Linked DNA regions of Alligator mississippiensis. The protein of the gene in region 3 purifies or fractionates together with the protein of the main gene of each other region. This does not show direct contact. Links are inferred from orthologs where the notes say so. Each region holds a gene or a part of one and is shown on either strand. Other genes may lie near its edges.

The links. Proteins that work in one complex are often made in the same cells at the same time.
Region 1: the proteins of CUL4B (region 3) and COPS5 purify together in Homo sapiens (affinity purification with mass spectrometry; 12 studies listed by BioGRID and IntAct, counting the BioPlex papers as one, with this or other methods). This does not show direct contact. The link is inferred for Alligator mississippiensis from reciprocal best matches to the Homo sapiens genes CUL4B and COPS5.
Region 2: the proteins of CUL4B (region 3) and GRWD1 purify together in Homo sapiens (co-immunoprecipitation; 4 studies listed by BioGRID and IntAct, with this or other methods). This does not show direct contact. The link is inferred for Alligator mississippiensis from reciprocal best matches to the Homo sapiens genes CUL4B and GRWD1.

Annotation. Positions count from the first base shown.
Region 1 is NC_081826.1:63,773,316-63,783,060, reverse strand, and holds the start of COPS5 (COP9 signalosome complex subunit 5), read right to left. Parts: upstream 4,267-9,745; 5' UTR 4,190-4,266; coding exon 4,017-4,189; intron 3,884-4,016; coding exon 3,649-3,883; intron 1,085-3,648; coding exon 956-1,084; intron 1-955. UniProt on the Homo sapiens protein: Probable protease subunit of the COP9 signalosome complex (CSN), a complex involved in various cellular and developmental processes.
Region 2 is NC_081828.1:38,508,947-38,518,981, forward strand, and holds the start of GRWD1 (glutamate-rich WD repeat-containing protein 1), read right to left. Parts: upstream 4,267-10,035; 5' UTR 3,547-4,266; coding exon 3,351-3,546; intron 3,121-3,350; coding exon 3,003-3,120; intron 2,630-3,002; coding exon 2,476-2,629; intron 2,399-2,475; coding exon 2,185-2,398; intron 2,081-2,184; coding exon 1,938-2,080; intron 1,759-1,937; coding exon 1,561-1,758; intron 1,408-1,560; coding exon 1,090-1,407; 3' UTR 1-1,089. UniProt on the Homo sapiens protein: Histone binding-protein that regulates chromatin dynamics and minichromosome maintenance (MCM) loading at replication origins, possibly by promoting chromatin openness.
Region 3 is NC_081831.1:72,375,105-72,384,915, reverse strand, and holds the start of CUL4B (cullin-4B), read right to left. Parts: upstream 4,236-9,811; 5' UTR 4,147-4,235; coding exon 4,134-4,146; intron 3,322-4,133; coding exon 2,794-3,321; intron 2-2,793; coding exon 1-1.

The DNA.
Region 1 (9,745 bases), on a different chromosome or scaffold from region 3:
GTATGGTCAAGGGCCTGCAGACCAAGCCCTACGAGGAGAGACTAGAGAAACTGGACCTTTTCAGCCTCCGCAAGAGAAGGTTGAGAGGCAACCTTGTGGCTGCCTATAAGTTCATCACGGGGGCACAGAAGGGAATTGGTGAGGATTTATTCACCAAGGCGCCCCCGGGGGTTACAAGAAACAATGGCCACAAGCTAGCAGAGAGCAGATTTAGACTGGACATTAGGAAGAACTTCTTCACAGTTCGAGTGGCCAAGGTCTGGAACGGGCTCCCAAGGGAGGTGGTGCTCTCCCCTACCCTGGGGGTCTTCAAGAGGAGGTTAGATGAGTATCTAGCTGGGGTCATCTAGACCCAGCACTCTTTCCTGCTTATGCAGGGGGTCGGACTTGATGATCTATTGAGGTCCCTTCCGACCCTAACATCTATGAATCTATGAAAATGTAGGCTCCTCCCGGCTTGCCTTCTTTGTGGCTTCACAAATCGCCCCTCTTGGCTGCCCAACAGACCAAGCTTCAAGAAGTAGGATAGCAAGATGCTCTTAGCCCTGTTTATCCTACACCTTTGTGGGAAGTGTGAGATGTAGATCTAAATCCCATCCCTTGGCTGCGGAGAGCCTAGAACATGAATCTCCAAGTCCCTAGATAGATGCCCTAGTCATAAGGCTATTGGGTCAAAAGGAGGGAAGCCACATCTCCAGTTTATAAAGCATACAGCAAATGTTAAGACCAATGAAACAGCTGTTTTTTACCATCATCTTGGCCATGCAGATAGCCAAAAAACTCGACAAGGGAAAATACCGAACTGAAGCTTGAATATTATCCCTCCATAAAACAAAGTAAGATAGCATTAGCAGGTTAGCTGACAGTAAGAAAACTCAACATAAACATAAATGAAGTCTAATTATTGCATCATGTTATCAGTTTACCAAGTGCTCAGTTAACATCTAATACTTACAACCACTGCTACAAAAGGTTCCTGAAATTGCTGATTAAGCATCTGAGTACTGACATCAATCCCTGAAAGCCAGCAGCCATAGCCAGGGTGACTGTGATACCAGCCAATTGCATTTTCTAGACGACCAACCTAACAAACGTGAAGGAAAAGAAGGTGTATTGTTAACGTCTCCACATAAAATTAAAGTTTCAGCTGCCCTCTTTTGGACTTTTCACATACTGCAGATATTTTTCCTTCCCTGTAACGTATCTACTTACTGTTTCTTTAAACTTGGTGTAGAATTGTCAGTAAAAAACTTGAGCCTTATTTTGCAATATATTTTTTAAGAAAGTCGTAGTACAGCTCATGACTACAATGAAAGGTATATCTTGATACTTGGCAATCATCAGCTACTTTGCTCCTCCATACATCATCTAAGATATAATCTTTTGGATTCATACCATGCAATCAATTTTGTCAAATGTACACCATAACAAGCAATTAAAAATCCTTAAAACAATAATGGAAGACAGAACATGCAAGAGATAAGATGCTGTATCTAATGAAGTCAATGGATGCTAAACAAATGACTTTTGCAGAAGGTAAAAGTCTAAAGGCTTAAAATAAAAGAACTTTTTTTTTTTAATGTTTACGTGTTGAACAGCTAGAAACAGAACACTAACACTTTTTTGTGCATTTTCATTCCTGTGCACAAAAAACGATGAACCAAAATCGAAGTCATTTCCAAAATGTTCACTTAACAGAACACCAACAACTTGCTACCTAGTATTAACAAAATAAACAATTTAACATTCTGTTACTGGCAATAATTCTTCTCTCAAGGCCTGTGAAAAAGTCAGAATGTGAACGCTCACTAGAGCACTGTACAAGGATGAAGTCATTGTGCTAATGCATGAGACAACAAAAGTGATCAACAAAATGGGAAAAATGATTCTATGCAAATGTGCACAAAACAGAAACAGGGCAAAACACGTTCTGGGAAACACTGTCACAAGTTATCCCTAAAATTATTATAACTGAAGAGTAGGTACTAATTTTGAGATGGAAATATGATTTTCAAATGAAAGCACAAAGCAAGGATTTTTGTGGGTGATCTCTCTTTTACTGGACCAACTGCACAGTTAGGATAGATTTAAACAAGCTTCCAAATGCATGACATCCTTCTTTGGGTCAGGGACACAGTTGGAATCTCTCATTTCCTGGACCATAATAACTACAACCTCACTCCAACACTACCATTTTCAAATTAGCGTTTATAACTTCAACCTAGTGAAATATTATAGCATTATACTAGTACATCTCAGGTATTTTTCCATATATTGTGGATATAACTGTATTAAGAGAAAATTCAAAATCACCTGCTTAAATCAGGACAAAGGACCAAAACAGCCCTAATAAGCAAAACAAGTCTATATCTTTTAACAAAACCAACTTCTACTGTGTTTGGTCTTTTCTCATGTTATAATTCATCCCGATTCAAAATCTGCACTGACATCTATAACTAAACAGTCAGAGTGCAAATGTGATTAGGATTAATAATTCCTTGATCTTGCTATCTTTGCCTGGTTGGTTTCTGACACTAGAGGGGAGTCCACTGACTTCAGCTGAATCCTGCAGAGGTTAACATCTGTCCAATTAGAGCAGAGAGAGATGGTTAGCCATAGAAAAGCAATGGTACTATTCAGCAATGGTAACTCAAGGCAGAATGGGCCTTAAAATTTCAGAATGTCCCTCTTGCTCATTCTGCTGTACAGGACCATCAATCAAGTAACAGGAGATGCATAAGTGTATCAATTTCCTTTGGTCTAATAAAAGATATCAAATTCACCCAAGGAACCTTGTCTGTCAATTTCCTTTGTGAATCTACCAGACATTAAAGGCCCAGTCCTGTCTGCCTGTGCAGAGTCCAGTGCAGGATCAGGGCCTACATAAAAATTCATGACATTTTTAGGGATGGAGGGGGGCATTTCACAATTATCACTCCTTTCTTCCCACCCCAAGCATTTTGCATAGTAAACCTTCACAAATTAGAGTTACCCTGAAGCAGCACTGACCACCACATACTCCTCCTTTTTTCACCTTTTGCAAAGGGTTTAGGTGTGGTTACAGAATAAAGCGCATTTCCAGAGGGATTTAGGAAATGAGGGGTGAGGAGGGGAGAAAGCGTGCTGCATCTGTGAGATGTTTCTGCTCTTTGTTTTTAAATGTCAAAATTCAGGTCTGCACAATGCAGGTACGGCCAATTTGGGAAGAAACCTGCTCCCTTACCCTTCCCTGCTGCTGAAACCCCACTCTGTGCTGCGGGGGGCAGTGCCAAGGGGAGTCGGTTTGAACTCAAGCAGGAAGGAGCATCAACCCCTCTCCTCTTCCCCGATAAGAAACAACACGTGAGGCAGGTGTGAGGTGCCTGGACCAAGCAGGGACCTGTGCTAGGGCTGCCAACTGTTTGAATCTATTCTGGGAGGTTTCATCACATGATATAATGATATTAATGACTTTACGTTGGGAAAACAAATGCACATTACTATTACATTTTAAAAACCCACTAGACTACCGTATAAATCAGATCCAACATTTAACATTTATTTTAACAAATGTCCTATCATTTATCTCCCAGGTAACTCTCAGCAGTCTCCTGGAAATGTTTCTCTAACCCTGGAGGCCTGGCAACCCTACCCCGCATGGGCCCGCACCTGCTTGGCGTTCTCGATGTAGGCCGCCATGTACTCGTAGGCAGCCGCCTGCGCGTTGACACGCGTCTCAGTGCCCTCCACGGGCAGGGCGAAGCTGTCCATAATGATCATGGTCTCGCCGTCCACCTTGCCCAGCATCAGCCCCATCACCTCCAGGTTGCCGCCCGAGCGTGCGTGCATCACCATCTTCAGCAGCGCCAGCGCCGAGATCTTGCAGTACTTGAAGTAGTGGTGGCTGCAACGGCACGCGACCGGCCCGCCCAGCTCAGCTCACCTCAGCCTAGCCTGGCCCGGCCCGGCCAGGGGCCTCCGCCGCCCCCCGAGCGGGGCAGCCCAGGCCCAGCCCCCACCCCCGGCCCCGCGCTCACTCCTTGGTCCAGGGCTTGGCCGCCAGGATCTCCTGCTGCTGCTTGCGGTCGTACTTGTAGATCTCGTCGATGCTCTGCGCCTCCTGCATGTTGTTCGCCAGCTCCCACGTCTTCTGCGCCATCCCGCCGCCGCTCCCTGACGCGCCGCCGCCAGCACCCCCGGCCGTCGCCATGCCCGAGCGGCCGCCGCGCCCACCACCGCGGCCCGGGGGTAAGGGGGCAGGACGCGGCGCGGCGGAGAAAGTGGAAAATGGCTACCGGGCGCGGGGGGGGGGGGGGACGCGGAATGGTACGGGCCGCAGGGCCTGACACTGGCTCTTGCGCGCGCCCCCTAGCGAGCCCGCCGGGGCACCGCGGGAGTGCCGGCGGCGAGAGGACGGGGCTGGGGGGACCTCGGGGGTCTGTCTAGGCCAGCCCCCTGCTAGGAGCAGGACCAGCGCCCACTAAATCACCCTAGTCAGCGCGGCGAGGATCTGTCTAACGCCCTCGCTCCGCCGCACTACTGGAGCTGCTTCTGAGCTTACATTTCCTGACCCTGATCCTTCTGGTCCCAGCTCTGGGCCTCGAGCGCAGCCCCTGACCACCCTGTAGGACTTTGGCGGGCTCCCCCTGGCACAGAGGACGGTAGCCGAGCCCAAGGCTTTTGTGCTGCAGGCAGACCACGGGAATGCACACTTGCTTTGTGGGATGGAGATCCTAATTTAAATTCTTCCTTTAATATGCATGTCATCACCATCTTTTACTGCTCTGCTCGTGCACATTTAATTTGGATATTAGGGAAAACTTTCTTCAGGGTGGTGAAGCACTGGGACAGGTCACCTAGAGAGGTGGTGGTGCCACCTCCATCCTTGGAGGATTTAAGGCCCAGCTCATCAAAGCCTTGGTTGGGATCATGAATGCCTCCTGCCTCCTGAGGCTGGTGGGGAGCATGGCCACTTCCCACAGGCAGCGGCAGGGGCATGGCAGCAGTGAGCGGGGACCGCCCGCAGGCGGACACAGCAGTGTCGGCGGCCAGGTGTGGGGGTGGCGAGTGCTGAGTTGCGACTGCCCACAGATGCCGCCAGCAGTGTCAGCAGCAGCCACCAATCTCAGGGGGTGCGCATGCACCCATGTGGACCTGCTACACATTACCAATGGCTGGGATAATGTAGTTGGGGACGGTCGTGCTCTAAGCAGGGATTTAGACTAGATGACCTCCTGAGGTGCCTTCCAATCCTAATTTTCTAGGATTCAGGACTGTATCGCATCGAAATAAAAGGCTTTTTAGGTAAAGACCATGTCATTTCTGGGTGGGCCCTGTCATGGGATCCCTTGGGGTGGAACCGTGTGCCGGGATGAAGTCAGTGAGGTGTGAGCAAGTCTGAGGTACACAGGAGCAGGAGCCTACAGTGCCCCTACATGAGGCCCCAGCCTCACAACTGTACCCACTTGGGAGCTGGTGGATGTCTTGCTCCCTACGGGTTTCACCTGGAGAGATTCAGTCGGTAGGCCAGGACCTACAGCTGTAAAACAACAAGGGAGGAGGAGCGTCAGTTGGATTTTGTATATTTATCTATGAAATGCAAAACTCTAGAACTCTTGGCTCAGAGATGATACTTTTTATTAGACCAACTAAGAAATTGCAAAAAAACCAAAAAAAATTCTTTTTTCTGCAAGCTGTTGGGCACACATGCCCTTCCTCAGGCTCAGGGAAAATTAATGATGGTAAAAAGTCCCCGTAGGTAGAAAATAAACTTTACTTTTGCACAGAGGAAACGGAAGGTGGAAGTCTGTTCCTCTGAGTGTCTTTTGAGTTGCTCTTTGATGTGCAGATCAGGCAGGATTCCTTCCCTGGTGCTGCCAGATGGCAGGCAGGGAGCTGTAGAAATCTTTCTTGTTGTTTAGCAATGAACCTTAAATACAAAATTAGCTAAAATTCAGCATCTTCCATGTTTCAGGGATGTATTTGGTAGCTGCATTGGTCTGAGACAAAAAGAAATGCAAAACTCTAGAACTTTTGGTTGAGAGGTGACCTTTTATTAGACCAACTACGAAATCGCAACAAAATGATCTTTCTCTGAAAGCTTTTAGGCGCCACAGCCTTCCTCAGGCGTATTTATCTGTGACATTCACATTACATTGTTCCTGCATCCTATTTGTAATGTGTTGGGCCCCTGAGATAAGAAGAGACACAACACTGGACAAAAGGGGGAGAAGGTTGAGGGGAGTCTCCTCCATCTGCCAAGAAACATGGAAGCAATATTTGCTAGAAAAACGTCCATGAGAGAAGCGCAGGCTGTTCTGAAGGGAACACTTAACAAGGTTAGGCTCCTGGATGGATGTGCATGTCTGCTGCCCCAGCAAATGACTTTTGTAACAGCGCTCCTAGGATGGAAAACAGTGACTTAAAAACACTCTGTGACTAGCAGTGTCATTGTTGTGATTTTGCTGCTCCAGTCTGCGATTCTAGGCCTCCATCCTGGGCTAGAGAGGGGTGACCTAATAGGAAGCCACCAGAGAAACGCGACACCAGATGATCTCCCTGCTTTTTTTAAAAAACACTTTTCTTCCTGACTTTGCAGGACTTTCCTACGTTAAAGCCAGCGGGGGTGTGAGCCCGGCCTGCGGCTGGGCGGCCAGGTGCGCGGGGATCCGATCCGGCAGTGCGCGCAGGGAAGGGGGGGGGGGTCTCACACAGTCGGGCTGGGGCGTGTTGGGGATCCCGGCGTGGGAGCGGGGGCACTACCCGTGTGCGGACCTGGGGGCTCGTGGGAGGGCTGGCGTCCGGCTCAGGCTGCGGCGCGGGGCTCCCAGGCGGCAGGGGGCGCTGCGGGCCGCTCCCGCCGTCAGTGCCCGCGGCCGGCGAGGCGGGAAGCGAGGCGCGCGGCGGCCGGAGCTTGCGTCTGTGAGCTCGCGCGGAGCCGCTGAGTGTCGCCGCGGCGGCCCCTGCGTCCCTTCCCCCGGTGAGGTGGCGGCGCGGTCTGCCCCAGGGCCGCCGGGCTCTGGGTACGGGGCGTTGGGGAGGCGGGGGGCCTGCGTCTCGCGGGGGCGACGGGGAGGGCTGTCGCAGGCCCCAGCAACGGTTTCTGTTGTAACCTGGTTGCCTAACAACGCCGAGCGGCGTCTTAAAGGGGCCGCACGCGGGGCTGGCCGGTGGGAGCGCGTTCGGAGCCGCCCCGCGTGTCATCACGCCCCGCCTTTCCCGGTGCCGCGGGGCGATGCCATTGGCGGGCGTGGGGAGCACGGGGGTCCTGCGCGTGCCCGGAGCCGCCCCTGGCGGCTGTACCACCGCCGCTCGGGGGGGAGCTGCAGGGGGACGTGGTCAGTGGTGGTCGCGTGGTCTGCTCCGGGCCGGCAGCGGAGCGGGCTCGGGCTGCGGCGGCGCTGCCCGCCATGGAGAGCGGGTCCCCGCCGGGGTAGGGGCGGGACGAGGAGGGGAAGCCCCGCTGCAGCTTTTCCAGCAGCCTTCCCAGCGGGTTCGACTGCCTCTTCCCCGGGGGCTGGGACAGGGGCTTCCAGCGCCCGAGACGGCTCCGGCGCTCCTGCCTTGTTCTCCCTCGCGCGGGGCTGGGTCTGGGGCTGCGGCTGCATTAGGACAGCAGAGGTTGCAGGGATCCTGGTGGAAATTGCGGGTAGTATTAAGCTGGGGTGGGGGGACTCTGGACCCTGGCTCCACTGCTGCTTTCTTTCCCCTCTGCTAAGACAGCCGAAGAGCAGAAAGGCCTGGCTTCCCCAGGCCGGTTCCCGAGGCTTTCCCCTCTCGTGATGGGCGTCTTGCCGCAGTCGCTTCAGGTTCGGGGCCTAAACTGGAGAGAAGAGACTGGCACGGGCTGTGCTGGGCTGGCGGGAGCGCGTCTGTTGGAAAGCAGCTGAACTGTTCCTGGTGGTAAAGCCGAGCTGGTGTTGGCAGAAGCAGGCCCGTGCTTAGTTGTCTTCAGCATGAGCTCCTCAAAATCCTCCTCTTCTGGGCTGTCTGCTTGTTTTCTGCTTGGCTAGAAGGACTGAAACGCAGCACAGCCTGCGGCAGTTTGTTTGCTTCCACTTGCAGCTTCTCAGCTGACTACCTTGTTGCCATTACGCGTTGCGTTTATGCATGTTGGCTTCATTTTAAATAAATGTTAACACTTGTGGTAGGGTAAGAGTGATATTATAGCTGTGATGGTCCAGAAGTGATGCCACAGGCATAATGTGTTATGCCAGACGCATAATTTCTTAGGGTGGTATCTTTCATTGGACCAACTGTGTCACTGGGATAAAGTTAGACAGGATTTTGAATGTAAGACATTTGTAAACATGGTCATTTGTGTAGGAGCTTGTTGGATGCTATAAAACAATTTGAGAATTTTGTCCTTTTGTAGCAACCTTTGACAGCAGATCCCTTTGAAATTAACCTACGTAATTGGAAATATTACTTTGTAACAGCACAAAAGTGTTCAAGAGGCAAAGATTTCTGACCATGACATCTTTCGTTAGACCAAACGTAGCTGGGATAAAGTTAGACAAGCTTTTGCATGTAAGATGTTTGTGGGATCTCTGTGCCTATGACATTTGTGTTGCATTTGAAAGCTTGTCTCAACTTTTTCAACTACATAGTTAATGCAATGAAGGATATCACCCCAAGAAATCCTTCCCTCTCAAACACTTTTGAGTTTATACATTGTAATATTTCCATTTACTTTGATTAATTTCAAAGGCTCCTATAAAATAACACAATTTTTAAACAAATTATTTTGTAGTGTCCTACAGATTCATATGCGAATGATAGCATTTAGCATGAGCCATCACAAAATTAGCTAGTACTATGTTCAATGTAGCATACATATAAACAATTTTAATGGACTTAGCAAGGGGGGTGTTGTCTGAAGGGATTTTTGTTGTTTTTGGCTAGTTTTAATATTCTTGCATGTGTCTACATGTATATGCACAAAAATGAAAATGGGGAATCTGGTGATTTTCAATGGTTTAAACTAAAAGCAGAATCTTAAATAACTCTTCATTGGTGCAATGTCTAATTTTATGAAATCACTTGTTTTTCTTCCCTTGAGCATTGGTGTATTATCTGAACACAGCTGTGGATGCACAGCCTTCAAAATGCTCAAGTAAACTCTGTATCCCCTTTTCCTTTTCTTCTGTTTCATTTTCTCTTGTAGAGGATCCTTTCTAATAATTTAATTGGCAGTTGACTCTTGTGCTTGTTTCACAAACTTTGAATCCATGCACATTTTAAAAGATCTTCTCAAGCAAAAGCAGTGGCATAAAATTATCTAGTTATCTCCTTAGCAAAATTTTGTTAGTGCTTCTTGCCTTATAGCCGTGTTAAAGGTAGCATGCTGAATTAACTGTATTTCTGTTAGTCTGTTTAGGTACAGTATTTTACTACGAGTAAAATTTTGAGCTTTCTTCACATTAAATGAATTTTTGTATAGTAAAAATAAATCTTAATAGGCATTTTGCCTTGGTTTTTCCTTAATGTTTCATATTGCTTAGGATCAGTATCTGATAAAAGTAAAAAATATAATTATAGATAGCTCATTATACTATCTATTTTGGAGTGAGAGAGACTCTTGCAGCTCTCACTAGCATTCATTCCCTAACTTAAAAAAATGTCTCCAAATAGGGTTTGGAAACAATTCCAGAGTGTATACATGTGGAACTGAAGGTCAGATTCAGTTGCCACAGTCCAGTGAGCTATGGAAGCAACTTTTTTTGGTGTATGACTTGATGTATGTTATTCTTGCAAGTGAGTAGGC
Region 2 (10,035 bases), on a different chromosome or scaffold from region 3:
TGCCTGTTCTCACCGGCTCTGGAGCAACCCAACTACTGTGGGGGTGGAATTTGAATAAAATTTGTGTTCCCTCTTTAAATGGGAAAACTGAAACCAGAGAGAGGTTTTGTCCCCACCCCCATACGAGTGGTGGCTACCAGGTCTGGAAGGATCCATCTGGAAGGATCCCAGCATAAAGAAGGGAACTGAGAATTTGCACACCCCCCCCCCCTTGTCACACTCTGAATGACCCAAGTACAATATATGGTTGGTAAACTACTGGTCAGCATCACCGAGGCCACAGCTCTTCAGGACAAGGTGCAGCCCAGCTCCAGTTGGACACAAGGTTCCCTGATGCTGAATGCAAGTTTCCACTCCCAGCTGAGCTAGCGGATTCCCCCATTCAGTGCTGTGAAAGCTGGCACAGTCCATAAGCAAGGGGGGCGGAATTAGACAGTTTTGCTAGTCCCCTTATTCTGCACAATGGTAGTAACCACTGCCCAGTGGGGAGGAGAGATGACGCTGATGCTGCTTCATACAATCCATGGCTACTCCATCTGCAGAGAGAAGGGGGTGGGGAAGAGACACTCCTAACTGCTGCTGACTCTCCAGACAGTCCCCTCCACCCCTTCTTTCCAGCCAATGTATGTGGTTATGCCTGCTCCTCCCACCCCAACTCCATTCTGGATAATGGTAGCAACTGGCACCTGAAAAAGACAAGGAGGGTGTTATACACCTACTATAAAAACAGACCCCCCCACCTTCTGTGTAACAGTATCTACCAGCAGCACCAACAGAAAAGGAAGTGGGGGTGGGGGGACACAACACTGATCTCCCAAATTGCTCAACATCCCTTTTCTGTGCAATGGTAGAAGCCTGTAACTGGGAGACATCATCTGCAAGGTGGAAGGGAAGGAGGATGCATAGCATGGATGCTGGTTTAAGAGAGAGTGTGCAGGTATCCTGTGCAACGGCAGCCAAAACAGTCCTGGGAGGGAGAGAAGGCAACGCGGTGCTGATGGAGGGGCACTTGGCCATTCCCTGGCTCTGGCAGCCTAGTCCCAAGGCTGTGTGGGGCTGTCCCTGTGCCCCAGCTGCCCCTCCCCAGGGTTACACGCTGATGGTGCGGAAGATGTTGAAGCCGGATAGGGCGGTAGTGATGAGGACACCAGGGCACTGCGGGTGCCAGTGCAGTTCCTTGATGTCGGTCTCGCCCTGGTGCACGAATAGCAGCTGCGGGGGGATGAAGGCCAAGGCCGGGTCATCACTCTCCCCCTCAGCCTCTTGGTCCCGCTCCACAGCCAGATCCCATTGTGTCACCTGGTTGTCAGCCCCTGCAGCTGCCAGCACCCCACTGTCCGTGGGGTGCCACTCCACTGAGGTGATAGGTGCTGTGTGCTGCTTGAATGTGGCCACGCTGGTGCCTTTCTGCAGAAGGAAGAGGGGGAGGGTGAGAGAGGCAGGGGGAGGCCAGGGCTGGGCTGATGTGGTCTGTGGGTTAGGAGAGAGGCAAGGCTTGGGGAAGGTCAGGGCTGGGTTGGCATGGGGCTGCGGGTCAGGAATGAGGGACACCATGCTGACCTGGAACTGGCGCAGGTCCCAGATGCGGATGGTGCCATCATCGCCGCCACTGACAATGAAAGGCTCGTGGCGGTTCCAGCTGATCACGTTGACATCACTGTCATGGGCCTGGCTGGCTGTCAGCATGCAGGCCTGGCTTGGTGCTGCCCGCACATCCCAGATTCGCACTGAGGCGTCGGCCGAACATGAGGCAAACACCTAGGCAGAGTGCAAGGAGTGAGGGGCACCGCATAGCCCACCTCCCTGGACCATCCAGCCTGGTCTTCCACTCCTTTCCCTGCCCCCAGGCCAATTTAACTGAGTATCCTGCCCCAGCTCAGTCCCACAGGCTGTTCACCCTGGTCTCACCAGTGCTTTAGGTTAAGGTCCCTGCTTACTGTGGCTTCAGTGGGTGACCACTGCAGGTCCTCTACAGAGGCCATGTGGGCAGTGAAAGGGCGCTGGTCCACATGCCATGTCCCACCCTCCTTGGGCATCCATAAGTGAATGTTCTTGTTGCAGTCACCTGTGAGGAGACGACCTAAAAAACAGAAGAGGTGGTGGCTACAGCTCTGTAGATGCCCCTCACTGGGTTTCCCCAGCTCTGCCAGTGCTCCACACTCCCAACCTGTGGCCCCTGCTCACCTGCCACTTTAGGAGACCAGTCCAGGGCAAACCCTTCAGTCATATGTCCTGCAAAGGAGAAGAGAGGCTTGATCTTTGCCTGCTCCTCCCGCAGAAAAGTGACCATGGTCTGTGGGTCGGACAGGGCCGCCAGGGGACACTTCAGGTCATAGATTTCCACTTGGCCCTTCTCAGACCACACAGCCGCTATGTGGGCGCTGCCCAGTGAGGTCACCTGCCAAGAATAAAAGAGTTAACTGTGGCTGGGACAGCTAGAGGGAGGGCACATGTGGGGTAGGGAGTCAGCAATACCCTGACACGGTTGATGCCTCCATAGTGGGGGACCATGGCCAGTTCCAGCTGGGGTTTCTTATCCTCCTCCTCCTCTTCTTCACTCTCACTGCTTTCGGACTCAGAGGCAACCTTCCGTGTGCCATGAAGGTTGTGCATCTTCATCACCAGCAGCCTGCCCACAGGAGAGGGACTTGCTGAGGCTACAGACACCCAGGAAACACAGTCGCCAACCAACTCCCAGGGGTGGGGAGGTGGCAGGGACCTTTCTTTTCCAGGTGGCTCCCACCTTGGGCCAACCCTGGGGCAGCAGCACTGGCTGGTGCACAGAGTGGAAATGGGGTGGGCAGCCTATTGTCTCCAGGGGCTGCTGCCCCTGATCCAGGCCTCACCCCCTCCCCCATGCACAGTGCCCTGGATGTGCAATAAGTTCTGCTGAGTCCCAGCCCAGTATCCCAGCTCCAACCCCTGCCCCCTGGCTGGGCGCAGGAGGGTATGTGGGTTGGAGCCAATTCTGGCACTGGTTCCTCCACACCCCCGGGCCTGACCTGTTGGCCTGGGCGGTCTCAGCCTGTGTGCCGGCACAGAGCAGTAGGGACAGGGGGAAGCAGTCACGCCCCTCGCCCAGCGTGTCCCGCACCACGTCAAAGCTCAGGCAAGGGGCACCTATGGGAGGGAAGGAGAGATGGGGTCAGCTCCGAGGCCAGCTCTGCCCCACCGCCTTGGGGCCGTGACTCCCAACCAGCTCTGCCCCCTCTGCCCTAGGGCCCCATTGACCCTCAACCCCTCACCTCCAGGACCTCGGCCCTGTCCTGCCCCTTTTCCCCAGGCCCCGCCCCCACGTGATAAGTCCCTCCCCCAGGCCCTGCCCGCTCGTGCCTAGCCCCGCTCTGTACCGGTGCCCGCGCGCTGGTAGAGCACATAGGCCTCTTCGTCCATGACCAGCTCCTCGCTCTGCCCCGGCGGTGGCGCGCGGCCCGGCACATACACGCGCTGCGCGGGCGCCTGCGGCTCGCCGTCCCCCTCCATCTCCTCCGTGCTGCTGCTGTCGCCGTCCCCATTGTCGTCGCTGAGCCACGCTGGGTCCGCCATCGCAGCACAGGTCAACGCTACTTCCGGGCAGGCGTCGTCTGCCCCACTTCCGCCCTCATGCCGGAAGGCGCGGAGGCGCCATCTTGAGAAGGGGCAGCGTCCGCCATGTTGCGGATGGAACCAGACAACCGCGGCTTGCGTGTTTGAATAGGACTGGGAAAGGGGCGGCCGCCATCTTACAAGTGGGCAATAGCTGTCTGTTCTGCCGCCATTTTGAAATAGGTACTGGCCAGAGGCCCTGGAGAAAAGCTTGGCCGTGGGGCCACCATCTTTGAAAAGGGAAATGAGAAGTGGCCGCCATCCTGACTACGGGAAAGGGTGGCCGAGCGCCATTTTGGGAAATGTAGTCTTCAGGCATCCCTAGACGCCATCTTTACTACGGGCAGGTGTGGTTCCGTGGAAAGCCACCATATTAGAGGGAGCCTCTCCTGCCCTCTAGTCATCGCCATAGCAACAAGAAAGTTTCAATGGTACCATTGCCAAGAAGCAATTAATAGAAGTCAGTGGCATTGCTGTAGCAACAGGAGGCAATGGGTAACATAAAAAGGTTCCTGGGCGACATCATCAGGGCTGGGTTCATGGGGAGGGGGTTGCCTGGTGATGTCAACCCAGGGCTTGATGTCATCACTTGGGGCCAAGTGCCTTTGCTGCCCCTGTTGACATCATCAGCATCCCAGGCTCTCCCAGGGCTCCTGCAGCCCCCTCTGGTTTCCATAGCAACCTGATGGGGATTTATTGACTTCCCCTTCCAAAGTGTGGGCAGAGCCCCCTCCCTGCCCTGCTGGACTCCCCACCAGCCCATACTGTGCTCTGCCCAATACAGGGTCCCATCAGAGCCCCCTGCCCTGCAGCTCAGCACCCAGAAGACTGGGCCTGGGGGCATCCCTGGCTGCCCGCCCTCCTGAGACCCTGCCAGTCCCTGCAGCCTGCACCAGCCCCGCCAAGCACTAAGTGACGTGAGCAATGGGCTCCCTGCAGCGGGCACTTCACGGCTCGTGCACCCAGTCCCCATTACGGGGTCGACCCCTGCGCTTGGCTGAGCACAGTGAATTTCACAGCACAGCGGCTGCAGCTGGAGGCCTTCGGGCCGTTCTCACTTAGGGATTTATGGGCCCTGCAAGAAGGCAGGGAAACACCAGGGAAAGGCTCCCTCCATGCCAGGGCTGAGCTGGGCTGGGAACAATGCAGCACAGTTTCCTCCACCGGGACCCCTGCTATGCCCCCAGCATAAGGCTCCCTGCAGACTCCCTCCCAAGCACAGCACCCAGGCTGAATCCCCCAGCACAGCACCTCCTAGTGGCCCCTGAGGACAGATTCCCCCGCCTACACCCCCCCCAGCAGTGCTCCCACTGCTCCCCCACTGAGCCACTCTAGCAGGGTGTTCTCCAAAGCACCCCGTGCTGAGCTCCCTGGCACCCCCATCCCTGGGCTGCCTGCTGAGAGTGCTCCTGCTGGGATCCCTGTGCCTCTAATGAGCCCTCACCCCCCATCCCCCCAGCCTCACGCTTTGCTGTGGCCCCTGCCCCAGTCCTTACCTCAGAGCTCTGTTCGTGCTGGTCTATCAGGGGGTTGTGGGTCAGCTGGGCTGGGCGGGGGGGGGGGGGGGGGGTCCTGGGGTGGTGGTGGTGGGGCAGAGGACTGGATTGGCAGAAGAGGCTGTTTGGGGGGAGTCCTGGGCTGCAGGATGACCTGAGAGTGGTCATTGCAGGGACTGTCCACCAGGTGTCGCTGGTGATGCACAAATGCCCCTGTCTGGGCAGAGGAGGGGCAGCTCAGTGCCCAGGTGGGCACAGGGAACACAGGGCTGGGGCAGGGCAGAAAGGCCTGGCAGGGCAGAAAGACCTTTGGACAGCCCCAGGGAGGCACTAGTTGGGAGAGGAGAGGGCCTTCCCAAGGGGCTACTCCTTCAGCATGCCCCTTCCCCCAGGCCTGGTCCCCCCCCAGCCCTGCCACTGCCCTTGTATCCAAGCTGGCGGTGTCTGCAGCAGTGCGGGGATGAAGGCATCAGGCTCCCAGGAGCTTGAACTTGTATAAACAAGCTCTACCCTATTCCATCCCCCCAACCCCAGCCTTAGCTCTGAGAGTTCAGCTAAATGCAGCAGCCGGTTCCGTCTCCACGGACTGCAGGTCTTTGGAGCTCATGCATAGCCCACACACAGCCAGGGCCCACAGAGACCCCTCAGCCCTGCCAGGGCTGGCATCTACAGGTGAAGAAACCTCACCTTGCTGCTACCCCTGCCAGGCAAAGGGGGCAGCACCCCCTACGGAGGACCCCTGCATTGCCAGCCCTGGGGTCCCTTCTAAGAGCCACTCTGCTGGAAGACCCCCCAATCTCCCTCCTGGGTGCACTGGTCCTAGCAGGACTTCAATGAGATGCCTGTCTGTGGGCTCTCTGGGGAGGGGCTGAGAGGAGGCTGATCTGTTGGGCTTATGTGAGGGCAGGTCAGCTGAAATGGACGGCTCTGTGGGGGGCAGAGAGCAACTGAGAAGGGCAGAGGAGGAGGCTAGTTGCAGGGGAAGGAGAGGCAGACATGGGGGTGGCTGGCAAAGGTAACCCCACACCAAAACTTTTGCATTGCCCCCCCCCCCCCCCCAGCCCTGCCTGTGCTCCCCCCCCAATCCTATCCCCATCCCTTGCTGGCTCAGCCCAGGCTCCCTGCCATGGCTGTGCCTGGTTCCTTGAGCTGTGCTTACAGCACGGTGCCCCCTGGCACCAGTCTGGGGACCTGGGCCCCTCCTGCCCCCCCCCCCCCGCCCCCCAGCAGAATACGAGGAGGGGGCTGGGGGCATCAGGTCTCCTCCTGGGGTTATGTCCCTGCACTGCCCGAGGGATGACTGACCGACATGCAGGAATGGGGGAAGGGTGGGGAATTGGACCCTACAGGGGGTGGGTGGTGGGGGATGTGTTACCTGCTTTCTTTGCAGTCCCCAAGTGGGCCCCTAACACTAGCTCTGTCCTTGGTGCTTGCCAGCCCCCTGTTGAATCAGCATCTTGCTCTACCTGCTCCACTCCCAGGGGTCACGGTCAAGCAAGGGCAGCCCCTACCCTGCCAGAGCTCTGGGGGAACAGCGCAGAGGCCTGTGGGGTCTGGGAATGGAGCCTATGTGTGACCCAGGGGGGTCCCAAAGCAGCCCTGCCCACAATGGTACCAGACCTGGCAGTGCCCCTCACCCATGCCCCGCAGCTCACGCCCCTCCACTGCCCTTTCATGCCGTGCTTCAGAAGTGTGTTTAGCATAAACACCCCTTGGGGTTGTAACTCCTGATCAAATCTTTGCCTTAAACCAAGCATCGCTGCCGGCAGCGGGGCTGGGACTGCGTTGTGTCAGCCTAGATTCAAGTGAAGAAGAAATGAAGGTGAAAGGCAGAGACACAGACAAGCACCACCTGCCTGGGACATGAGGCAGATGGCCAGGCCCCTCCAGGGGGCGCTGGACCCGATCCGGCCCCAGGGAAGGGGCACAGGCTGGGGCAGGGGGTGGGGACAAGGCAGGGGGACCAGTTTCCTGCAGGGGTTTTACCTTTGGTACAAGATGGCCCCATCCATCCATCTGCCCGTCCATTGATCCCTGCATCCGTCCGTCTGTCCGTCTGTCCGTCCGTCCGTCCGTCCGTCCGTCCGTCCATCCATCCATCCGTCCATCCATCCATCCATCCATCCATCTCCAAACCTCGCCTGTCCCTGAATCTGTCAGTTATTCCTCCCCCCTCCCCCCAGCCTGCTCTCTTCCTCATTTATCTCCTGCTCACTCCTTACCTGTCTGCCTCCCCCCTGCATCTGTCCATCTGTCCGTCCATCCGTCCATCCATCCATCCATCCATCCATCCATCCAGTCTGGCTCTGCCAGCTGTCATCCTGCCCTCCGCCCCCCTGCCTTCTTCTCAGCCTTCTCTCTCCCTCCACACCTATTGCATCCCCATCTCACCAGCACCCATCACCGCCCCCCCCCCCCCCCAATCTACCTCTCCCTCCTGGTCGGCCCTGCTCTGTCTTGACAGTTTGAGGCTGCAAGACGCTGTGTTCCTCCAGCTCCGAGACCAGAAACCACTCAGCTCCTACCTCAGTGCTGAGACACCTCCCATGCTGGGTAAGGGGAACACTCCTGACACACCCTGCCCCAGAGCCAGACACATTTCAGCACTGGGTGAAGGGGCCATGTATAAGCAGGTTCCAACATGCTCCACCCCAGAGCCAGTTGCATCTCAGGGTTGGGCATGGGGCCCCTGTATAACTGGCCTGTGCGCTCCCCACTGCGGCTACACACTAAACACACACAGGCCTGTCCTGCTCCCAGGGTGGGTTGAGCTCCTGAAGAGTCTCTGCCCTGCTGGGGAAGAACCTGAAAACCCAGGAATCTCCCATGGCTGATGAGGGCATTGTGAACCCAGACCAGGAGCTGGGCTGGCCGGAGGCTATAGGCTAGGAGTTGGGAGCACTGGCAGAGTTGGGGGTGGGGAACCAGGGTTCCCAGGTTCTCTCCCCAGGTGTGGGGTTTGGTGCATTAGAGCTGGGAATCAGGACACCTGGGGTCTCTCCTGGCTTATGGAAGGGTGTGGGGTCTGGGAGGTGGCTGGGAGCTCCGCTGCCTGGGTTCTCCCCCTGCCTGGCCTGGTGGCTGCTTGTCGCCTTCCCCAGCAGCCGTGCTCAGTGATGGATTCTCCCTAACCATCTGCTCAGCTTGTTAGGCTGGTAATGAACAAGTAATTACCCACCGCGTGTGCCCAGGGCCAGGCTGGCAGCAGACACAGTTCTGCAAGAGGTCAGACCCCCGGCTGGGGGCTTCCTAGAGCCAAGGTGGCCTCTGAGACAGGGGCATGGGTTGGGGGCATTTTCCTTTTGGGGGGCACTGGACCCCATCCAGCCTTAGCATGGGGCACTGGCTGGCTCAGGGGGTTGGAGGGGCCAAGGGCCTGTCCCTAAGGGGTGTTGGTCCTTCACTAGCAGGTACCATAAAGCTCACTGTGCATTACCTGGCTGTGGTGAGTTTGCAGGGTCTCAGTCCTGCCACACAGCTCCCCACAGGGCCTGCCTTGCCCCACTCCGTGCAGAGACACTGAGAAGTGGCCACCCCATGGTGAACACCGCATCCCAGTGGCTGGAGAGGGTTGCCCTGTGGTGGGGGCTGTGGCCTCTCCCTATCCCCTCCCGGTCTGTTACCCTGCCAACTGGACGTGACACCAGAGTCCTTGAGTTCCTGGCAATTTATTATTCATTAAGAGACAGGCGCGAGATCACCTTGGAGCAGGACTGTGGTGGTGGTGTGGGGGGGAATCATTGCCGGGATAGGCTTGGGATGGGAGAGACAGGAAGCTGTATGGGAGGGGATGGACAGGCACACAGGCAAGTAGTGCCTATGGCACAGGCAGCCAGCCAGTGCCCCCACCCAGGGGGGCGGATTGGGGCCCCTTGGACAGGACTGAGCCCTGCCCCAGAGGCTGTCTGAGGGGCATGGGGTCAGGGCATGCATGTCCGGCAGAGCTCTGGGGCATGGGGGAGTCACCACGCACTGCCACCCCCTGCTGGGAGTAAGTCTGCACCTTTCCCAGGCGTGGCCCCAGCCCCCATTAGGCTGATGTCATAATTGGGAATGAACGTTGCTCTCCAGAGTGGTGCGGGGGAGGGGCTGCCAGCACTGCAGCCCCCGGGGGACCCCAAAGTCACCTTCCTCCCAGGGCCTCGAGCAGTCGGTGCAGACTGGCAAGGAGCAAATGCACACAGAGACACTTGCACACCCTGTGCCAGCCCACTGGGCCCCACTGCCCCCAAGCTGCAGAGAACCCAGGAGTTCTGGCTTCTGGCCTCTCTGGTCCAGCACACCAGACCCCCACTCCTCTTCCAGAGCTGAGGGAGAATGCTTCCTGGCTCCTAACCCGCCTCCCCTTGCACTAACTCACCAGTCCTCACTCTTCCACCCCACAGCTGGGACAGAACCCAGGAGTCCTGGCTCCCAGTCCCTCTCACTGGCATGCAGAACTATCCAGAGGTTAGGAGCTGTCCCCTGCTTAATGCAGTTGGGGATTGAGCAGGACATGGGAGGGCCCAGGTAGGACTGTGGATGCCTAGATGGTCTCTGGGAGAGGGGTCTCCTGCAGCTGCACAAAGCTGTCACACTGCCCTCGTCCCCAGCCTGTGGCCAACTGTCGTTACAGGCACCTCTGTCTGGGAGTGACAGCAAAACAAACACCCAGGCCCTGCGGCGCTTGATTTATGGTTTCATCTTGCCGACGTTCCCTTGGCCGGCACTGTGCCAGCACCCCCCCCCCCCCCCCCAACAGGGTGACATTGAGTTACCAGCTCAGCAACGCTGCAGGCTGTACACAGCAGGGAAGACAACCAGCAGGGGGCACCACGGGGCAGGGAGCAGGTTGGGGCATGGGCAGGGCACTAGGTGGGGCTGTACTGTCAGTGACTGGGCAGGGGCAGGGCAGGGGTTGCCAGGCAGAGGGGAGCCAGGCAGGGACTCGGGGGGGGGTGGGGGAAGGTGCTGT
Region 3 (9,811 bases):
TCTAGAACAAAGGGAGAACCTGTTTAACAACGGCCAAAAATTCTAGCTCTTACATAAATGTGAATAAGTGACAAGTGTTTGAAAGGGAATTCCATTTAATTTATATATGAAAAAAAAAAATCTTAATAGCATCTTATTTAAACTAAGTAACTAAAACATTTTAAGTTTTTGCCTCGAGACACGCTTCAAATTCCCCGGTTGTGCCTATGTCCCACAACAGCTGTAGCACTGACATCATATAGTGATCTACAAATCCAACTGTACTTAAAATCTAGCAGCTCAGAAAATAAAATTGTGTTAGTCTGTTCTCATCAGTACTGACTTTTTATTAAGATAGAAGCACCAGCCAACAGAATGGGAAAGAAACACCAAGGACTGGCAAAATGAAGCTAGTTCTTTGACAACTGTATGACTGATATTCGGAGCTAAAACAACTGCATGTACATATATAGGCCTTTGTAATGTTTGCTCCTCTATCAACTTACAAAAAAAAGAAAGAAAAACATCTAGTCATTTACTATTAATCAGCACAGTTCAAGGACTCTACCATGAATACCAGCAATTTAGACTGGCAGGGACTAGATATGCAGCAGAGAGAGAGAGTACTTACAATCCATGATATAAATTTGCTTTTGTAGTGTTTAACAGAGATCCTTATGGAAAATATCGATCAAGATAGATGAGGATGCTCAAAGATCTCAACGTCTTTTAGGCAAGATTGTGGTGATACCTTAAGGTCTCAAAATTATCAGGAACTATAGGAGAAACGGAACTAGTTGACAAATACTTATATTTTCAAAATTCTAATTCAAGTGATTATCTTTGTTCCAGTGAAAACACTGCAGGGTGGGGAAGAAAGGGAAAGAAGGCTGGGGAGGAAGTTATATCGGTCACTTCTAGAGCTTCATCAGGCCAAGTGTGAACAAGCTTCTAAAGACAAATCTTTTCTGCATTTTTCCCCTTGGATAAAATCAAAATGTAAAACTAATATTTGCTGTTAATTAATATTTTTCTCCAGTGTTGGAGATATTCCATCATTATGCCAGAACTTAAACTCAAAAGCAAATCTAACCAGAAATGAGACCAGCTCACTTTTTACTGTTTGAGTGAAGTGAAAGGGATGCTTATATCCAAAAACTGGCAAAAAGCAATTTTTCCAGTTATTCAGTTGGTCTAATAAAAGATATCATATTTACCTGAATAATCTTGTCTGCCTAAGACTTAACAGTCAATTGGAAAAAGGTATTGTTTTAAAAAAAGAAATCAAACATTACTAGCATCTCAGATAAGGTCAAACTTACTTCCTCAACATGAAAGGCTGAAGAAGGGCAGTCACAAAACTGATACATTTTATATATACTAGTTTGCCAGGTGGGAGCCAACATGGCAGTTCATAATAGGCAACTAAAATCCACAGCAATTAAAAAAAGTTGTAAAAAGCCACTGCCTAAATTTCACTACTTTAGATAAGAAAGCCATGGTTGAAAGTCAGTTTCTCAGGATCATGCCTTAATCTAATATTCTGAGTCTGCAAGTGAATAAGGAATGCATGTGGCAGTAGGGTAAGTGGAAGAACACTTCCTCATGTCACTGGGAAAACCAGCGTTACAATCTAATCCATGTATGTTGTAGGGTATCTATAACAAGCCCCATATAAATTGGGGCTCGTTATAGATACCTTACAACATACTGGAACAGTGGAGTTACCAGACTCCCCCCTCCCTGCCTCAAATACCAATAAAATACTAGCATTACTTAGGATTAAAAAAAAAAAAAGTTATGTAAATCAGTATTTTTCAACATGAATAAAGGAAATGGAATAGGGAAGGAAGCTTCTGAATTAGTGCAAAGTGTCAGAGAGAAGCAGCGAAGAGAACTACATGAACCCTGGATTTGCCCAAGTTTTGACATAAATAACAGACAGCAGCTCAAAAGCTATGCATGTTCCCTGCCTACTCCAGGAAGTAAACCATAAAGTAGCTATTAAACGGAGTAGCTCAGGTTCAAGCAACATGGTATCCAAAGCTTTGGTATCTGCTCAGTCACAACACTTCCTGGCCTCATTCAACAACCCAAACTCATGCAGGAAGATCAGCAGGTACCCCCCCCCCTTTTTTTTTGGGGGGGGGGGAGGAGGCAGAATAAAGAGGGGGAAAAATGGAAAAGGAAAGAAAAGAAAAAAGAGTCAAGATAGGTGAAGAAGAGAAGACATAAAAGTAATGGGTCACAGATAATGCCAGGAAAATGTGTAGCAGGATGCTCAGCGTCAATCCACAAAGTGCTCAAGCATTAAATATCAATAATCATTTTAAAATCTAAATTAATTTCAAACTTAACAAATGGAAAGACACCAGGCAGAAGAGGCTATTTTCAAGTGGCTACCCTGTGCTATGAGCTATTAGATGACCTGGACTAAATTACTGTTGTGACTTGAGTCAGGATTACTTCAAAGGCAATATCAAATACGGCCATTCTGAATAAAGGCAATTAAAAAACAACCTCACACCAGAAGACGTTTCTTAAATGCCCACAACAAAGTCTGTCCTTCACAGGTACACTGAGAGCGTCCAAAAAACAATCCTAAGTGACATAAATCTCCAAGTGCGTATGCAGTGTCATAAATCCCATACTATAAAAAAAGATGACTTTCCCCTTTTTCTACACGCGCTCGGGGGGTCACCACCAAAGAATATTTCCAGTAGAACTTATACCTATTTACAAGCCCAGTGGATAGCTGTCATATAGACATAAAATACAAGCAGTGTGTCAACTCTTCACATTATGGCCTGTTACCTTTAAAGTTCTTGATCACTAACTTCTTGGCAGAGCCAGGTTTACTATTGGCGAAACTGGAAACAGTAGAGGAGGCAGCTTTGGTCAGACCATTCGCATGGTGCCCAACGGCCACTGAAGAAATTAAAAGGCTTTTATTTTTGAGCTGCTGCTGGTGCTGCTGCTGAGAAGAGGCGGCGGGAGAAGAGGAAGAGGAAGACTCTTCAGCCATCTTCACATCGAGTCCAATAAAATCCAAGGAGTCCTCAAAGCGCAGCTTCTTCTGTAGGTGATGGTTGGTGGAGGCACCCCCTGAGGAGGAGCAGGAAGAGGTGGTGATGATGGAGGAAGATGAGGATGAGGAGCTGTTTTTGGAAGGAGAGGAGGAGCAGGAGGAAAGGGAATCAAACTCTTCTCTCTCCGAGTTGTTGCTGCTGCTGTTTAACTTTCTCTTCTTGCAGGAGGAGGAGGAGCTGCTGCTGCTGCTACTACCATCAGTGGCAGGTCTGACCTCCTGAGCTGCTGCTGGGGGGTTGGGGGAAGAGAAACCTGTGGGAAACATGAACACACAGAGGTGAGCAGGCTGAGGGGCATCAAATCCTGGTGGTAGGACAGACCAAGAGAGAGAGTCCGAGTCCGTTTCGGGGCTGCCGGATCAAGAGTCTCTCAGCTCCTCTCTCTCTCTCTCCCCCGGGATGTCGGGTCGTCCGGTCTCCCGTCTCGTCGGCTTCCTTCCTTCTCAGGGGAGCCCCTGACGGCCTCTCGCCCCCTTCCCCCTGCTCCTTTGTCTCCGCTCAGTAGTCGCTGGCAGCCTCCTGCCCCCACTCCTCTCGCAGGGCCTCGCTCTCCCCGTCTCTCTCCGCCCGCTAGCGCCTCCCAACCCTCCTGTCCAGGCCCAGCCTCAGCCGTCGCGGGGGGCTCCTAACTGCTGCCCTCTCCGCCTCCGTCTCCTGCCCCTTTCTCCGCAGGGAAGGCGCCCGTGGACGCTGCCGGCTGCCCCCCGCCCCAGCCGGCGCTCTCCAGCCTGCTCTCGCCTCTCTCCCTCCTCCCCCCTCTCTGCCTCCTGCTCTGTCCGGGAGGGGGGACCGGATCGGGACTTGTTATTGTCAATACAAGGCAGAGAGGGGCCCTAAAGATGGCGGCACATCCGGCCGCGGGGCATGCCGGGACACCGCGGCCCGGAAGCGCTCCCCCACCCGGAGCGGCGGCGGCGGCGGAGGGCTCGCCTGCCCCAGCTCGGGCCAGGAGAAGCGCAGCAGCCGCCCTCCCGCCCGCTCCCCACCCCCCGCGGGGCCCCGCGCCGCCCGGCCCCGCTCGCCGCCGCCTCCTGCGGCCCCCCCTTCCGCTCCCCTCTGACCCACCGGAAGTGATCATGGTGCCGGCGGCTCGCGCCGGGCGCCGGGACGGCTCGTTGTGCCCCGCGCTGCGGCGTGCGCACGTCGGGCGGTGGGGGGCGTGGCCACGGCCCCTCCGCGTGTGGGGGCGGGGCTTGGGGCGGCTCCGGGTTGAGCCCCGCGGGTTTCCGTAGCCAGGGAGGGGTGGGTCTCCCTGGAGGGGGCGGGGCGCCCGGTGTTGCCTCCCTGGCACGAGCAGAGCCGCGCTGTTGGACGCAGCTGCTTAGTGCGGCGCGACAGGCACCCTGGGGTTTCTTTTTTATTTATTTTTTTAAATTTAATTTGTAGCCGAGGCCAAATTAGCCAAAACTAATTCCAACTCCATGAGTCCAGACCCATAAGTGGCCCTGCGCCTGGCAAATATCCTCCACCCGCACCTGGGGCTTCCGATGTTTCCAAAAGCTTTGGCGGGCGTCCCACGTGCGGGCCCGTTGGGGTCCGGATGCCCCCGAGCTCTGCTTGCCCTCAGCCGTAAGGCCCTGGGAGCAAGCGAGAGAGGAGCCGGAGCCTGAGCCTCCTCCTGGGTTTGCTGCCAGCGCTTTCTTATGAAAGAAAGAAGCACTTCAGCTTGGGTGACCCTGGTCTCGCTCGCTCGCTCGCTCGCTGGAGTTACGGCTGAGCAACGTCAAGTAAAACTTGTGTGCCTATTTTTTTTTTTTTTTAGCATGCAATTATTTTTCAGCAAATACAGTAATTTGGTGCTTCCAATACGACCGCTTCCTATTTAAGCCGGGGCAGCGCTGTTGCAGCCCTTCCACGCGCCGCCTCGTTTATGGCGGAGCGCGGCGGTGGTGGTTTAACCCTGCACGTCGCAGAGGCGGAAGGTGGGGGGCTGCCCTCGTGTAGGTGAGCTCAGCACCCTGGGTGTCTAGAGCAGTGTTTCCCAACCTTTTCCAGCTCAAGGCACGCTTATATTAATAAAACTTTCCCGTGGAACACCTGTTAAGGCATTCCCTATCCTTACATCTATTGTGGCTTGTTGCCGTGGCAACAGCCTGTGGCACACCTGTTCGTTTCTGACGGCACACTTTTGTGCCGCGGCCCGCTGGTTGGGAAACACTGGTTTAGAGAGACGGGGAGCATAAGCTGCCTGAGCCCAAGTTCATGGGCATCTGCTCACCTTGAGGTCAGGACAGCAGGTGCTCTCCTGTCTACAGACGTCTCAGAGGAGCAGGACTGCCTGCCTTCTGCCTGATGCCAGGCTAACACAGCGACCTGCTCTCTCTGCCCCTGCCTGTCTTCCAGCAGTGGTGCCCCGCCTTCCCCCCCCTTGGGCTGGATGGCTGGGGCTCAGGCCATGGGCTGGATCCAGCCTGTGAGCCCGATACAGCATGTGGGCCCGCTCTTGGCCTGGCTCCCAATCCAGCCACAGGGAGGGAGTGTGGGGGGCCCCACAGGCCGGATGCCCCAGCTCCATGGGCTGCGTTTGGCCCGTAGGCTGGAGGTTGAGCACCCTGTTTTACGTGCTTTAAGACTGATATACCTCTTGCACCTGTTGTCCCCCAGAGACTAGATTTCTGGGGTCCTCGGTTTGTTCTTTCATCATTAGCCTGCTCGCTCCTTCAAAAAGAAACTAATGCACAGAAACTAGTGAGTTATTTAAACGGGGATGTTGAACCTGCTCTGAAACCCTGACTGAAGTCTGGAACGTGCTTCCTTCTTGGAAGGGAAGAGTTTTTGTTTTCCCCTAGCAAATATCAGCTAGGTTATTTTTGAGAGGTTTGCAATATTTGCATTAGGCTGAAACTGAGCAAACATTAGTCAAAATAAGACTGGCTTTTTTGGAGTTCTGAATCGGAACGGTTTGTGTCGGGAGGAGGGGAATTATAGATCCCTTTTAAACACCTTTTTGTGACGCTTGTGTATTTTTATCATCACAAAAAGAATCGCACAAGTACGCTGTTCCGCTTCAATAAGGACTCACAGTTATCTATGGGCAAAGGAACAAAACAAGCTGTTGGCGTTATTGAAGTCGGTTGGTGCAGGAATTCTCAAAGGACTGCTGATGGGAGCTTCCACCTGCCTTTTTGACAGCAGAGCTCTTTCAGGGGAGATTGCTGGCAGCTGTATCTTGATAGGAAACCCTGTGTTAACTTGTCTTGACAGAAATTGTGGCTCATAGAGACATAAAGTCATTTTACTGAAGCTTTTTTTGGAATATGTTTTCTGTTTGAGCAATAGCGAGGGCTCTTGAGACATGACACTGAACTGCACTGATGTGCAGAAAAATAACTTATGAATGCTTTCTCCAGGTGCAGTGTATTTTCAATTTTGTTCTCTGCTGAATTTAGAACAGGATGAGTGGATGAATGCAAAATTACAAGTAATGTAATAAGAACGGTAAAGTGTATTTGCTTGTATTATCCTTAATCTTTTTTAGTTTAATAGCTCAGCCTTCATCAGTTTGCATTTCAGTGTTTTGCTTCTCTTCAAGTTCTCTAAAGGTTTTAAATCATTTATAATTTAGAATCTGATCCTGGGAGTTAAGAGTGCAAAAGTTGTTTGGTAGAGGGCCTCTACTCCTTATATTAATCACTATTCCTAGCTGTACATTTTTTTAGTATTTGAATAAATGATGATATTTATAAAACTTTCATTATGTTAAGTATTAGTTTCTAGTTATTTTTACAGTGTTACAATTATCTAAGTCATTGTGCTTGGAAAAATGGCATGAATGATCGTTCAATCCTGTATTTTTCACTGAAATTAGTGTAAAACTCCCACTGGCTTTAGTAGAAAAGAGATTTCTACACACATACATTTTCTTTCTCTAGCAATTAGCTCTATGAAGATAAAACTTATGCATGTCTTTTCTATTCAAACCAGATAAAATAATATATCAATTAGATCCATCTTTATCCAGTCTATGGCTTGATACTGCATTAACCATTAATAAATGCTATAAAACATAATTATCTTCACCAGAACCCATTCCCCCTTCTGGCAGCTGGATCTTCCTGGGAGGTCATAGATGATCCGCTCCTCCTCCACCTGCCAGGATCCTGCAGGGAAGTCCGGGATACCCTTCTCTCACCTGTGGCACCAAGATCTCTTCCTCTGCCCGGCTCCCTATCTGGGTCAGCACCCGCTTTCCGAGAAACGGATCTTTTTTCGCCAGGTAGCAGACAGGGCATTGGTCTGGGGTTAGAAATTTGGGAAAAGAGAGCTTGTGTTTTGACTATATTTGAGGACAGTTGTGTCTTTTCTCCCTGTTTCAGGATTTATTGTTCAACACAGATTAGTAATTATTACCCCTTTTATTTCTTTTTGAAGGACTATTTTTTTTTGAAAGTGGAATAACACGCAAGAAAGCAGTGCTGTGTCTGCAACTAACAAACGAGCAATGTTTCTGAGAACATAATAAAGGTATTGTTGTACCATAGCCGTAACATTTCATCCGAGGTAATTGCTAAATACAGTAACACTGGGTCACTTTCCAGTCCAGTCCTCATCTGTTTTCAGATGTTAGCAAAGAGTAAGTAAAAAAAAAACCACCAAGAGAACTCTGTATATACCTTATTTGATACATGATTACAAACAATAAAATAGGATTCATTTAATGTTTGAATGATAAGTAAATTTGAAAAATGACTTAAAATTTAAACTAAAGATGGTTCTTGAGAGACTCGGATATATTATACCAGGACAAAATCTGGTCCCTGCCAGAACATATGACTTGCCATATTAGATCAGACTAGCGGTTCATTTATTGACATTAAGTTGCTTTAGAGAAAATGATGCGATTTAGTACAGTTATGGATTTAACCTGCTTACAGGGACTCTTTCATCCTAACTCCTCTCCTGTAGAAGTTATTTAGTCCTTGTAGAATTTAAAATTTTTTTTTTGCTATTGTAACCATATCTTGATCTGTATAAATGTCAAGGTCATTTGAAGCTCTTGGCTTCTATGATACCTCATGGTAATGCGTTCCATGGACAAATAGTATATTGTATTAAAAATATTTTTATCCATTTTAAGTCTTCTCACTTCAGAGTCCAGGGGATGACTCCTTGTCTTTGTATTACGAGAGAGAATGAATGAATGGTTTGATTTAGTACTCTCATATTAATAATTACTTAGTATCACTGTCTCTTATTTTTCTCCTCTAAAGTAAACAGCCTCCATCTTATCTAGTGGTATATTTTTAACATATGTTGGGGCAGCACGCAGAGCCTCAGTTAAAAAATAATCATGCAGCATTAATTTAGGGCAAAGTTTCCTTTTGGAAAAGGAAAATCTAAGAATAATACCTTACTTAATAGAGCTATTCCCTGTGTGTATTCAGGTTGTACCTTGCTGGCTTTGGCTACTGTTAGAGAACCAGAGCAGCTCAGAGGGAATAAGCAGGATTCTGTTAATTCTTGAACATCATCAGTAGAATTAGTGACTGAATTCCAATCAGTTACAGCTGTGCAGAAATATTGAGGCAAAGTACAAACTATTTAGGGGAAAAATGACTACAAGAAGCAATAAAAATGACTAGATGGACTGACTTCTGAGAGAGCGAAGAGCCTCACCTCACAGGAAAAGGCCTTAATGGAGCGAAATGCATGTCGTGAAAGTATGTGATGACTGAGGGACATGAGAGAACCACTTTCTACAAATATGTTAATAATGTAAAGGAGAGAAAATAGTTATTAAGGTGATATACAATTGCATTTTGTTACCTAAGAATTTTGAGATGGAATTTAGAAAGGGAAGATTACTAAGTCCATAAGATGCATTAGCCTATAGACTAATTGATTTTTAATGGCACTAATTGAAATTCTGTCTCCCAATTTGTTCAGAATGAAAAAAGTCCTACTAGAAATGCACTCTAGGGAGACAGGCTATAGGTCTTTCACATTCAAGCTACTATGCAGTTAGTTTAATGAGAGAAATTAATTCTTTAACCAGTTCATTTACTGACCTATGGAAACTATGATTAAACTTTTGCTTTAGACCTCTTCAGACTTTAGGGAGCTTTGTCATGTGAATAAAATCCATATTGATGGCTTTTCCAATAAGGAGAATGTGATTGATAAATACAGGAAGGTTGCATGACCTGGCTCCCTGGCTACTAGTATTTCTGATTGGCTCCAGTCTCTTCTGTTACCCGTGTCTCTTATGAACTTGAATCTGGTCTCCTTAAATCTTACATTGCATTTTATTGTTGTGGAAGAAGGGAAAAATGGAGTTGAATCTCCATTATATGTAAGAATAAATAAAAAAACATATACCCAGCTTGGCTATGAGGAAGTCAAAAGGGCATGACCCAAAACTGCCAGACTAACACAAAATGGGGACCATCCTGCCCTGGTCTAGTAAAAAAACAAAAGCTTAGCACAAAAGTAACCACAAACCAGCCTGCTGAGTCAGCCCAAAATGGGAACTGAACCCTAAGTTACAAGTTAGACAAGAGATAGTAAAATTTTTGCTAACATAATCATAACATAAGACATGCGCTTTACTAACAAAGTCATGACAAATGCTGATTGGTATATGTTGTTGCTATGCTTATGATGTCATATTTTCTATATGAACTCGCCTCACCTGTTGTACAAGGTCAGACCTCTTCACAGTTCTCCAGTTGTGTATGAGTCTGTCCAGAATGCATTCTTTAACAAACCAAGCTTCTGCTGACCTGATCTAAAGTTTGCTGAGT